Regions from separate parts of the Mus musculus genome. Here all the other regions are reported to be linked to region 1. Evidence: microRNA targets listed by miRTarBase, many of them from high-throughput screens and not tested one by one. Region 1 holds a microRNA gene; each other region holds the end of a gene's coding sequence.

The links. Region 1 holds the annotated microRNA mmu-miR-343 (UCUCCCUUCAUGUGCCCAGA, at 2,957-2,976, opposite strand). A microRNA usually pairs through its seed, bases 2 to 8, with sites in the 3' UTR of a target mRNA and lowers its output. Matches are read on the target gene's strand: a 7mer-m8 pairs with bases 2 to 8, a 7mer-A1 pairs with bases 2 to 7 and ends in A, and an 8mer does both.
Region 2: miRTarBase lists Wdr59 as a target of mmu-miR-343. Seed matches in the 3' UTR shown: 7mer-m8 at 3,396-3,402 and 7mer-A1 at 2,823-2,829.
Region 3: the mRNA of Pm20d2 is a reported target of mmu-miR-343. Seed matches in the 3' UTR shown: 7mer-A1 at 801-807 and 7mer-A1 at 807-813.

The regions. Positions count from the first base shown.
Region 1 is chr7:19,385,598-19,389,663 of GRCm38, reverse strand. It overlaps Mir343 (microRNA 343), which reads right to left and starts at 3,021; the gene lies at 2,947-3,021. Ercc2 (excision repair cross-complementing rodent repair deficiency, complementation group 2) reads right to left here. Exons shown (of 23, transcript NM_007949.5): 6 at 3,925-4,041; 7 at 3,718-3,834; 8 at 2,834-2,957; 9 at 2,636-2,732; 10 at 2,418-2,551; 11 at 2,167-2,335; 12 at 1,406-1,524.
Region 2 is chr8:111,447,233-111,451,290 of GRCm38, forward strand. Wdr59 (WD repeat domain 59) reads right to left here. Exons shown (of 26, transcript NM_001170742.1): 26 at 1,552-3,847. The coding sequence ends at 3,612. Among named protein-coding and RNA genes, the nearest start is that of Gm24793, 31 kb to the left of the region's middle.
Region 3 is chr4:33,170,559-33,174,616 of GRCm38, reverse strand. It overlaps Pm20d2 (peptidase M20 domain containing 2), which reads left to right. Exons shown (of 7, transcript NM_001034867.2): 7 at 137-4,058. The coding sequence ends at 291. Among named protein-coding and RNA genes, the nearest start is that of Pm20d2, 17 kb to the left of the region's middle.

The DNA.
Region 1 (4,066 bases):
CTTCCTGACTGGCTTTTTTTGTTGTTGTTGTTGGTTTTTTTCTGTTGCCAGCACAGGGTACCATGACTGGGATAACACTTCACAACCAAGGACAAGAAAAACAAGGATAGTTCATATTCCAGAGTCCCACTGTGAGACACCTGAGGGCCCCCTTGCCCTGAGCTGCTGTGCCAGCTTCCACTTGGCTGAATCCCTGCCCCAGAGGACAGTGCCATGGCTCCTTGCAGCACCGCTCCACTTCCCAGGGTCACCTGGAACCATCTTTGCTCCTCATTCTCCCCCAGGCTGTGACTCCGGGAAGGGGAGGATGAGGCTGTTTCAGTAGTGCTGGGCCTGGCCCCATTTGCTAACTGAACAAATGAATACATTCATGGGTTCTGTTTCACTTGGCAAAAATGATCGGGTCTTACGTGTCCAGCCCTTGCCAAGGACACAGCAGTGACCAACACAGCCTCAGTCCCACCCATAAGAGCTCCCTTGTACTAGGGGAGACAGCTATCCAGAGAGTAATGATCCCAGGCGCAGCTGGAATAGAGAAGGGGCAGGCCTCGCATAGGGTGGGCTGGGTGCCTTTCTGAAAGCTGAAGGACTCAGGCAGGTGATAGGAGGCGTAGACAAGGAGGCTTCTACCGATTGTGATGTTGTAGGTGGGGGAGGAGGAAGAGACAAAGGCCAAAGAAAGGGGCATGGTGAGTGCTGAAAGCTTAAGGAAGCAGGCAGCTGCCAACAGCCTGCAGTGGGGCTGATGGGGGGGGCCTCCTCCTTCCGAGGCCCAGGCTGGCCCAGCTGCAGGATGCCAGCTGACCTGGTTTCCTGGCTACGGCAGTAATCCCCAGGGATAAGCCTGAAAACTCAGTGTGGAGCTGGGGGGGTGGGGGGGTGGGGCAGCACACAACACATGGACAGAGGAAACATGACAGATGGACCCAAGTGACGGACCCAGAAGGTCCTGGGAGGCAGGCCTCTGTGGATCATCAGTCTGTATCTGCCTCCCTTGAGAGCTTCATGCCCAGCGCCATGCTTTTCCATCCTGGCCTCTTCCTCCCATAGTTCTCCCCAGCACACTCTCCTGTCCCCATTGTCCACAGTTCTGCATCTTCCTGCTACATGAACCTCGAAAGCAACAATCTCACCAAGTGCATCCCTTGCCCAGAACCTGCCATGGTTCCCTGGTGCCCTCAGTCACACACGAGGACTCCTCACCCCACTGATGGTGAGGTGACCCCTAGTGTCCTTCTGGTCAGTGCCACAGCACAGCCCACACACTTGTTCTCTGAACACGAGAATCTGACCACGAGGCTCCTCACTCAGGCACTCTGTATGGTCTTGCCCCCTGCTAATGCCCCACCCATGTGGCTGACCCCCAAGTCCTGCTGTCAGATCCCCAGTAGAAAGGCGAGCTCACCCTTGGCGTAAGTGCTGACGAGAGTGGCGAAGTTAGCAAGGAGTGTGAGCGGGGAGAAGTCGGCCAGGTCGGCAATCTCCAGGGTGTGCAGCAGGGAGCGCAGGCGTTCAGCACAGAACCTGAGAGGCAACGGGGTCAGGAGCGGGAAGCAGCAACAGGCCCGACTCTCACCATGTTTCCCTGGGCACCTGGGCATTGTGTGAAGCTACCCCATACTGTAGAAGACCCCCAGAGCTACCACTCCAGGCTGGAGCACAGCACATACAGTGCACAGGCTCACTGCTCACACGCAATATCCTGTTAAGACTCCCGGCTAGAGCCCGGCGTGGTGGCGCACGCCTTTAATCCCAGCACTCGGGAGGCAGAGGCAGGCGGATTTCTGAGTTCGAAGCCAGCCTGGTCTACAAAGTGAGTTCCAGGACAGCCAGGGCTACACAGAGAAACCCTGTCTCAAAAAACCAAACCAAAAAAAAAAAAAAAAAGACTCCCAGCTAGCAGTCACTCTGTTTCTGTCCAGCCAGTGTCACGGGCCCAACGCTCAAGGAGGAATAGCCACATACTTTCTTAGCCTCACAAAGGCTGTGTCACCTGCTCATCACCCAACATAGGGACACGTGGCTGCGGCACTCACTGCCAACCACACAGTCCAATGGATGCCCTCCACATCCAGTTCTGACCTGCCCCTTAGCCTTATCTATGGTCCAGACCCCTTTATCATCAGCAACAAGGCTTGGGCCCGTGGTTCCCCGTGCAGGCCGCACCTGAGGGGCTTGCGCTGGATGCACACCCGCTGGGCCAGGCCGCTCAGAAAGGCAGGTGGACTCTCCTGCACCACATGCTGCACGCGCAGACGCCACTTGACATACTCCAGCAGCCGCCGCAGAAAGCCCAGGAAGTGCTCAGCCGTACGGATGGAGCCAGGCACAGCCTCTGCAGGGAGACCCAGTCAGGTGGTACAGGGGTGCGTGTGCGGGGCAGGGGCTGGGTGGTGGGGGAGTGGGGAGTAGCTCACCCTGCAGCACCTCGTCCGGCAGCACAGGGTTGGCCAGGTGGGCATCTGTCTCCCGGGCCACACTGGCCTCCCGCAGGCCCTCCACCAGGCGCCGGTACTCATCCCGCAGCCGCTGCTCATCCGTCTCCTTGATCCTGATGGGGACATGGGACAGGAGCTGGAATGAGGCAGGTGCCCAGGGCACTGAGGCACACACAACAGTGGGAGCAGACAGGCACCTGAGCACGGTCTTCTGTAGGGTGTCTAAGTTGCTCTGGCAACGGTCCAGAGTCCTGCGGGTGAGGTTGACACTCATGGAGTCAATGCAGACATTGTCTGAGGAAAGAGCAAAGGGATGAAAGCCGGGCTCAGGCAGGCCTGGGGGCAGAGGCAGAGGGCTGCCACTGTCTGCACACCCTGATGCCCGCCCTCCTCACCGATGTTGTGAGCTTCATCGAAGACCACAACAGCCTTGCGAGCCAGCTCTTTGGATACCAGGTCTGCGATCTTGGGGTCCAGGAGGTAGTGGTAGCTGTAAACCACCACGTTGGCATGCAGGATCTGGGCACATGAAGGGAGAGGTTGCCCTGGGCTCTGCTACCCCCGCCACACCCACTCTATCCCAGGTACACAGAGGTGCCACAAAGACAGACACAACGACGGGTGGAAAGATGGACAGGACTGTTAGCCTTTTGTCTAAGCTCCACCTCACAGTTACACGGCAATAGCCAGGTGTGCCTGAATCACTATAAAAGGGGCTTCTTGCCCCCCCCCCCTTGCTTTCTTGCTTTGCTCTGCCTTCCTGCCCCTGCTCTATCCTCTAGTCCCTTCCCCCATCTCTCTCCATGTGCTCATGGGCAACCCCCCCCTCCCTCCCTCCCCCGCCTTTCTCTGCCTCTACTATCCTCTTGACACCCTTCCCCATGCCCTGAATAAACCCTATTCTATACTATACTGTCGTGTGGTGGCTGGTCCCTCAGGGGTAAGGGACGCCTCAGCATGAGCCTGCAGAGGCACCCCTTTCCCCACACCTCCATAGAACATATCTCCCCCTTTATCTTTTTATAAACACATCAAGGACCACCCAGGCAAGGCACAAGAAAGCAGAGATACTAGGACGGAGACAGACGATCCAGACAACAGACATAAAGACGTAACAGCACAGAGTCAAGTAGACAGATGGGCCAGCAGAAGGATGGGCACGGTGGCTCATGCCTATACCCCTGACAGCTGAGAACCTGAGGCAGGGTTATTCCAAGTTTGAGGCCAGCTGGGCTACAAATGAGATCCTGCCTCATAAGGAAACAAAACAACTCTTCACCGAGTATCGAGCCAGGAAGTAGGGGCACCAGCCCTGGCGCTGCCCTAGGGCCTTCAGGTCATCCAGGTTGTAGATGCCCGCAGGGAGCGGCATCTGGCGTCCATGGATGTCAAATTCCTGGGGCAAGGCCAGAGGGTGGCAGGGTCAGGGAGAGCGGCTCTGGCGTGGCCCCCACCCTGCTCACCAGTTCTAGGCTCTTCCCTGTACCTCATAGAAGCGGCAGTGAGGCAGGCTGGCATCCTGCTGGTACTGTGCCCGCACATACGACGCCGTTAGGCTGTGACACTTCCCATCAACATCCTTCCCAAAGCGCAGTGGAGTCACCTGAGGGGGCGGGGTGTCAGGGGAC
Region 2 (4,058 bases), not on the chromosome of region 1:
CCTCGATTCTACTAGCCCTTCAAAGCAGCACTGGGAAGGGCTGCCATGCCCACTGTGGATCAGCAAATGCAGATTGTATGCATCTATAGAGTAGAAAAACTTATTAAAATTAAGCATAATGGACTCTCCATAGTGTCCATGAGGAAAGTGTTAAGTCCTGTGGTCTGAGCAGCTTGAGGTGGGAGGACAAATGCAAGCTGGTGGTCACCTAGAACGCATGGCCCATTCTGCTTGGCAGGGGGCTAAAGAGCCCCTGGTACCCTGGACAGCTAGCACTGCTTTCCCATGGCAAAAAGTTTTTGTTTGTTTGGTTGGATTTGGTTTTTCAGGATAGGTTTCTTCTTTGTGTAAGAACAGCCCTGGCTGTCCTGGAACTCGCTTTGTAGACCAGGCTGGCCTCAAACTCAGAGATCCTCCTGCCTCTGCCTCCCAAATGCGGATTAGAGGCGTGTGCCACCATGCCCATGCCTAGTGTTCTCCCTGGCAAATTCAAAGGTGTTTAGGACACAGGTTATAATATTTTAAAGAGCAAATAAAGCCCAGGTGTGGTGGAATCCCAGCACTCTGGCAGTCAGAGGTCTCAAGTTCAAGGTCAGCTGGGAAACACAACGGTGCCCTACCTCAGACGAGCACAGTAAACCAAACCAAGAGGACTTAGCTATGGTAGAGAGGCTGCTGACCCCACCAGCATCCAGACCACTGTGTTTCCAAACAGGGATATTTCTCACAAATACTAAGTTTTTGTCCTGGTAACTTGGAAATGCAAACAGAACTGACCTATTGAGAGATGTTACATAGTGTCTTGTTTTTATTTTATGCATAAAGAGTGTTTTGCCAGCATGTCTACATAGCATGTGCATGTCTGGTGCTGACAGAGGCCAGAGAAAGGCATCTGATCCCCGGAATGGGAGTTACAAACGTCTGTGGCCTGGCTTATGGTTACTGGGACTTGCATCTGGAAGAGCGGCCAGTGCTCTTAATCACTGAACCATCTCTCCAGCCCCCTATGAAACATGTTAAACTTGAAATGACTTCATAGTCACTAAGAAGGTTTTTTTGTTTTGGAAGACAATGTTCTTACAGAAATAATCCACACAAGAAAACTATGTCATTCTAAACAGGGACAGGGCTTCCATTAGCTTCACGGTGGGGTAGAGGAAGAGACCGCTCTCTGTAAATGGTGTGAACTCACAGAGGACCCAACAGATCTGTGTCTGTGCACATCAGTCCGCCTGTTGTGGGACCAGCATCACGGCAGTGTCGACACAAACGAGGCTGGAGGAGTACAGTGTAATACACTCAGATACCTGCGGCCCTTCCTCCCCCATCCCAGCACACCGGACTACACGTGCTGCTGAGGCACTGGTACCAAACCTGGCACATAGTTCAAGATCAAGCTTATGCCACGGAGTCTCATGACCAATTAGTAATACAGGGGAGAGGTGAGGCCCACCTGCCACCATGAGATATAAGTACGTGTGTGTGTGTGTGTGTGTGTGTGTGTGTGTGTGTGCGCACGCACTAGTAAACAAAGGACATCAGACTGTGTTAGTACACGATTGTCTCTCACCCACATTATTTTACTTTCTTTATATGACAGTTTGGGGGCTGGAGACAAAACAGTTCTGACTTTGCAATCATGAAGATCCAAGTTAGGATCCCTGAACACACATGACACAAGGTGTCCTGAAAAGACTGATAATCCTAGCACCAAGGAACCAGATGGCCTCTTCTGTCCCACACAACATACACTTGAAGACACAGAGATTTACACACACAAAGTAATCCTTGAAAATAGAAAGTGTTGGTTTTTATCTACGAGACTGATTTCCTAATCCATTCATGAGTCTTAAATCATAGTTTCAAACAAAGTGATATACAACACTTACCTATTATGGAACATGTAGTATTTTGTTTTGTTTTAGTTTGAGTGTCAGTGTGTGTGTTGCTGAGGATCAAACACATCACCTCCTGTATGCTAGCCAAGCATTTGATTACTAAGCGATCTCTCCAGATCTTCTTTATGACGTTTGCTTGTAAGTGTCTTCATATATAAGTGAGGCTGGCCATCACCTCACTGTGTAGCCCAGGATGGTCTCAAACTTGAAACCCTCTTACCTCAGCCCCGTGAGTGAAGGGACTACAAACACGTGCAACCATAATCCAATGACACAAATTACTTATGTGTCTCCGGTTAATTAGTTTGGAATCATAAAATTGTTAAATTACATTTTTTGTATGTGTGTGTGTACATTCACATATCAAAGCACACATGTGGAAGTCAGAGGACAACTCTTAGGAGTCAGTTCTTCTATGGTGGCTCATGCGAGGGAGAAAACTGAGGTTAGTAAGCTTAGTGGCAGGCACCTCTGCCCACTGAGCCTTATGACAGGCCCAAGGAATTTAAATTTCTAAGAGAGAGAGATTTCAGTATAGTGGGTCTTGTTTTTTTTTTTAAACTCTCTTCCCTGGTATAGACAAGTGAAACCCCTGAAAATCATGATGAGTTTGCAAGGGAGTTCAAGTAAAAAGTACCCCTGGAGCCCAGCCAGCCTGCCCAGAGGCAGAGAGAGACTCTGGTATCAGTGCTGAAATGCAATCTCATTTCCCCTGTGCTAGAAGAAATAATTATGAGACTCTTGCGGCTAGAGAGAACCTTAATGTCAGATTCCGTTTCCTCTGTCAGATGATCAAAGTCAAATGGCATTTCCTTTACAAGTCATGAGACTAATTCTAGTCCGGTCCAAAACAGTTCCCTTCAACCAGAAGTACAATGCAAAATGAGTCACTAAGACGGTCACTTTCCTTATTCATCCTCTCTCTCTCCCTCTCTCTCTCTCTCTCTCTCTCTCTCTCACTCACTCACTCACTCACACACACACACACACACACACACACACACACACACACACACACACAAGTACAAACTTCTATTAGTTAAAGGAAAGCAGATGAAGAGAAACAGAAAACATATACATCTTAAGTTTCTTATGGGGCTGGAATGTAACTCAGTGGTATGGCTGCTCACCAGTATGTGCAAGGCGCTGAGTTCCAGCCCTGTACCAAGAAAAAGAATGCTGAATATATGTCCATCATATATTACACTTTAGTATTGTATTTTATAAGGCCATCATCAAGGTGCCAACTTCTAAGTCACAGATACCATAGCTCACTTGTGGATGGCACTAAGAGCCAGCGTCTTCTGGCTCAGGAGTCTGTTTTGCAGCTGCTGTGTGCCTTTGTACTGGCATCTGGAGGGTCCATTCCTGGTTCAAGGACAGAATCTTGAAGGCTGATGCTAGCTCTGATGGCTCTGGAAACAGGTGCTTTTCCTCATGAAAACATCCACTGTGGACTCAACAGACAGTACAGGAGGGTCAGCTCTGTGCGTCCCCCTCCCTTCTTCCAGCACCATCCGTGCCCGGCAGCCAAGGAGAAGGGAACACACAGGATCACGAGCGGATGCTGTGACAGTCTGTGAGAGGATACTCTCCATCCTAAATCACGAGGATGGCCCTGGTTCTAGGACTTTCCACCAGCAGCAGCAGAGAGCCTTCTCCAGCACTTATGGAGTCCTCTGGGATTTCCGGAAGTGCCACTGTCCTTTAAGTTCAGAAGGTGCTCTCCAGCAGGCAGTGGCAGCCACACCCCGTGGGACATACCTCCTGGGTCCGAAACCACTCCATCATGTGGCTCGTGTGGCCACCATGCCCACAGGTCAGGCAGAAGTTGGATGAACCCCGCACGGCCACATGGCAGATGGCACACTGGAAGGTGAAGCCTTTGCAGATGGCGCACTGGGTGCCACGGACCTCGCTCCGACAGTGACTGCAGTACACACCAAACTCTGCAAATGGGTGGACAGGGGCAAAGCAAGAGGAGACATTAGTTCTAATAAAAGCAGACTGAGTCTGGCTGGGTAAGGATACCGACTCCTCTCAGGACCCTGTCAGGCTCTGGCAGATCAGTCATTTCTTCCTTCTCTCTCATCCTCATGCATTTTCTTTCTCCCTGGTCAACCACGTAACGCAAAAACGTATCTACTGGGGCTGGGGAGA
Region 3 (4,058 bases), not on the chromosome of region 1:
TATAATCACTTCAGAAAACACGGTGTTGTGCTCAGAGGGTGGAGAGGCAGTTTAGATACTGAGAGGTAACCAGAGGAACTAATAAATGTACTGTGATCTAGAGAGAGGTTTTCAATGTGTTTTCTTCACCTCCCAGGATCACAAGCGGCTCAGCTGTACACGCTGCGTACAGCCAAGGCTCTGGCAATGACCGCACTGGACGTCATCTTTAAGCCTGCATTGCTCGAAGGAGTCAGGAAGGAGTTTAAATGTAAACTTCAAGAAGAGCAGCTTTTAAATACAGCAGCATAGAAGGAAACCCTAGGGACTGGTCAGGAAATGTTACGTTTTGTTTGTTTTTTACCTCTCATGTTTTTCAGTGAAAGAGAGCATGCTTGTTTTTCAGTCCTGGTAAGTGAGGACAGATATAGGGAAGAAGACACGAATGCACGTCTAGATTTAGTGGAGTTTGTGATACTGCAGGCGTTGGTGCGTAACGCCATCTATTACGCCAGATGATACCTGATCCTGTAACATTCGGTAATGTTTTGTAAGTGTATCTGCTGTATGGTGTTACAAGTCCCACGGGTTTCAGAAGGTGACACTCATGAACTCTGTGGTTCAGAGTAGGGAATGTCTTCTCGGCAGTTTAAATCGAGGGGGAGACTTGTTTTAAGTCTAACTGTATCTGTTTGGGTCTAAAGAAAAACTTGAAATAAACATATGCTTGTGGGACACTCCTAGAATCCCCAGTACAAAGAATTAGCTCTACTTTTAACACTTAGAGAAGGGGCGAGGAGGAGTGGAGGGAATGGTGGAAGAGGGAGAGGGAGAGAGAGAGAGAGAGAGAGAGAGATCTTTACTTACATGTAATTACTCCAAGAAGTGGCATAGGAACAGTGGGTAGTAACAGGAAAAATGGCAGAAAGGCACAGTTGAGCCTTTCTAGCAGGGTAGGGTGTTGTGTGTTGTGTTACAGGAGTTGGCCGGAGTACAGACTAGGTGTGCTCTGTTCTCCAGTGTCCCACACGGTCCCCAGTCCCTAGCAGCCTCAGAAGAGCCCCAAAGCCCTGTGCTGGCCCAGTAGTAATGTGAACCCATGGCCTTGGAAAGGAGGCTCCGTAGCTCCTAATGAGACTTAGTTAAGCTTCCTGCAGTTTCTCTGGACTTTCTTTTGTGCCTTGTCTGCTCGCTCCCTGGTTTGTGTCACCACAGCATTTGTAGAGCCACAGGAGGGAGTTGTTTTTACAAGGAAGCCAGGATTCGAGCTGGAAATCTGAAACATTTCAGTGGTTGTCAGTAAAATCACTGTCAGTAATGCCCTGGAAAGGAGCGAGTCACATAAAATCAGCAGTTCTTCATGGTCCTCACTGTAGCACAAGTTTCTTTGGTTTTGGTGGGGCTGAGTTTGAGACAGGTTTTCCCTTCTGCCCGCCTCCTCCCCACTCTCTTCCCTCTGCTGCTGCCTCTCAGATGCTGTGATTATAGGCTCGAGCACAGCACACCTGCCATCTAGTGTGAACTTGCACATGATTAAAGTGTGAAGAAGCCGGTAAAACCAACTCGTGGGCATTTGAGGAGGCGGTTCAGAGTCAGAAGTGGAAGGGCACAGGGAAGTGCATTTGCTTCTGTGGTGGAAGCAAGTCACTTTCCCTCAGTGACACCAGCTGCCACTTAGAAGGTTAGCCATCTTTGACCCTTCTAGCCTCTGATTTCCTGTTTGATGTGTACTTTAGAACAGGGAGCGGGGTTGTATTGGAGGGCTAACATCTGAGAACTGCTCTCTGCTGTTCTCTGGCTTGACATAGGCTGGTGTTTGCTTGATTACTTGCCTTTGTGCAGCTAGTATACTAAGAATTGTTTTGCATTTTAGAGGTTAAAAAAAAAACCCCAAAAACAAAAAACCACCATTACCACAAAGCATAAAGTATTTACTGTCTGACCTGTCAGGAAAAAGAAACCTCTCAGAGCCAGTCAATCGGGCAGTTTCTGATTTCTGTTCTCTTGAATTTTCTGGGGAAAGCTTCAAGTCCTGCATTGGAAGCACTTTAGTGTAGATAGGGGCTGCCTGACAGAGTGATCAGGACTGTTCCACCCTCTACTTTGTCCTTCTAGACAGAAGCCTGTTTCAGCTCCCCTCACCCTGCCCCACAAGTCCTCAGCCTTGCCTCTGCACACCACCCGTTCTGTCTTTGCGTAACATTGAGAACTCAGTCCTCCATGACACCTTGTGTCTGGATACTCACACCCGAGTTTATCATATTAAATACAAATTTTGTATAAAGAGGGAGTATCAATGAAAACTTGAATCAAAAAATAAGACATGCCAGAGATGTGGTTTTTTTTTATTGATGGACTTGGTCTCCTAAAAGGCTGTTTTATTAGTTCCTCACATCTTGAGGGATAGGTTTTTTTGTTGATTGATTTAGTTTTGGTTTTTGCAGGGCTTGATATTGAGACCAGGGCTCTAGCACAGAGCTGCATCCCCAGCTCCAGGGCAGGGCATTGGTTGCATTTGCTATAATCTTGACACCATCCTAGAACAGCTGTTGTTATTTATGCAGCCCAACCTCTGAGAATCATGTGTATTCCGTGTCTGGTTTCCTTTTCCTTTTTTTTTTTTTAAGTAAAATTAAATTTGACTGATGTATAAACAATGTCGGGTTTAGGTAGGTAAGGAAGGGTGTGTTTCTTGTTGGAGGTTGCTGCTGTGATTTTACAATTTGCTGTCTTATTGTCCAATGGTTTACCATTTTGAACCACTTACACCATGTCCTTACAAATGCCTTTTCCTGTCACCTGGGAGAGGTGTTACGTCAATGCATTCTAGAATGAGTAAGCTACACTTAGCAGCTTAAATGTAATTACAATCTGAAATTTATTTTCCTTTACCAGCTTAATTCTAAGGAAGCTTGAATATGGGACCTGTGCAGTACAGGTGTTAAAGTTATGTTTCCTTTTTCCTAAATGCCTGAGACCAGCGGTGTTTCAGATTTTAGATTAAAAAAATGTTTTGAAATATTTGCATATATATTATGTAATCTATATTTTATACATATATATGTATATACAAACAGGGAGGGGGAAGATAGAGATGGAACCCAGCTAGAGCTATAAAAATCCCTTTGTGTATCACATGGGCCTGCCCTATGCACACAGCTTGAAGGACGGTGTGCTCAGTGTTTTAGTGTGTCTGAGAGTTAACTGACCTGTGTGCACAGGAGGCCAGTTGTGCAGTTCTCACCTAGGTCGTGCCACTCACAGTTGGATTTCTGGAGCATTTTGGTCAGTCAACCTGGACTGCGAACTAGTAAGTTGCTGTGTATTCTGTGACTGTAGCTAATATTTAGCTTGCCTCAAATTTTTTGAGCTGATATTTAGTCTTAACAAATTCTCCTTATTGGATGAACTGCACAGGAAGTTTTTCTTTTCAACCACGTCTCTCTATGACATAAACGTTGGGGTACTTAGGGTAAAGTAGACACTGCATGTGTTTATGAAGGTGCAAACAGAAAGAAGGGTGTCAAGTGCTACAGTTGCATTGCTGTTGCTGTTTGTAAACTGTGCCGTCTCAGCGTTTGGGTGAGTAAATGTTTGCAACCACTGGAGAAGAGTAAAGGCCCTGTGTGTGGTGCTACATCCTCCTAGGATTTAGTTCACACAGACTATGCCAGGATGGAGGGGCACCTGAAAACTGCCCTGGGAGTTTTGGAGGAAGGGCTTCTAAAATACTTAAAAATACGTGAATCACTTCAGTCTGTTTAAACGGAAAAAAATATTTGATACCAGGTCTTTATATATATATATAAATATATATAAAAGAATAGTTGTCTCAAGAGGAATAAAATCTGGAGTGTAAAAAAAATGTTAAAAAAAAAGAATACTTGTCTCACTTTATAATATTTTTTAAAGGAAAAAAGAAAACGTTTCCAATAGCTTTTGTGTTCTGTGAGCTCTCACTTTTTACCTGAAGCAGTCTTCTGTAGCATGTCCCACAGCATCAGAGTAACTTGATGGTGACTATCATTTTTGTGCCCATTATCAGGCTCCAGTCATCTGTGAGAGGGGATAAACTACCT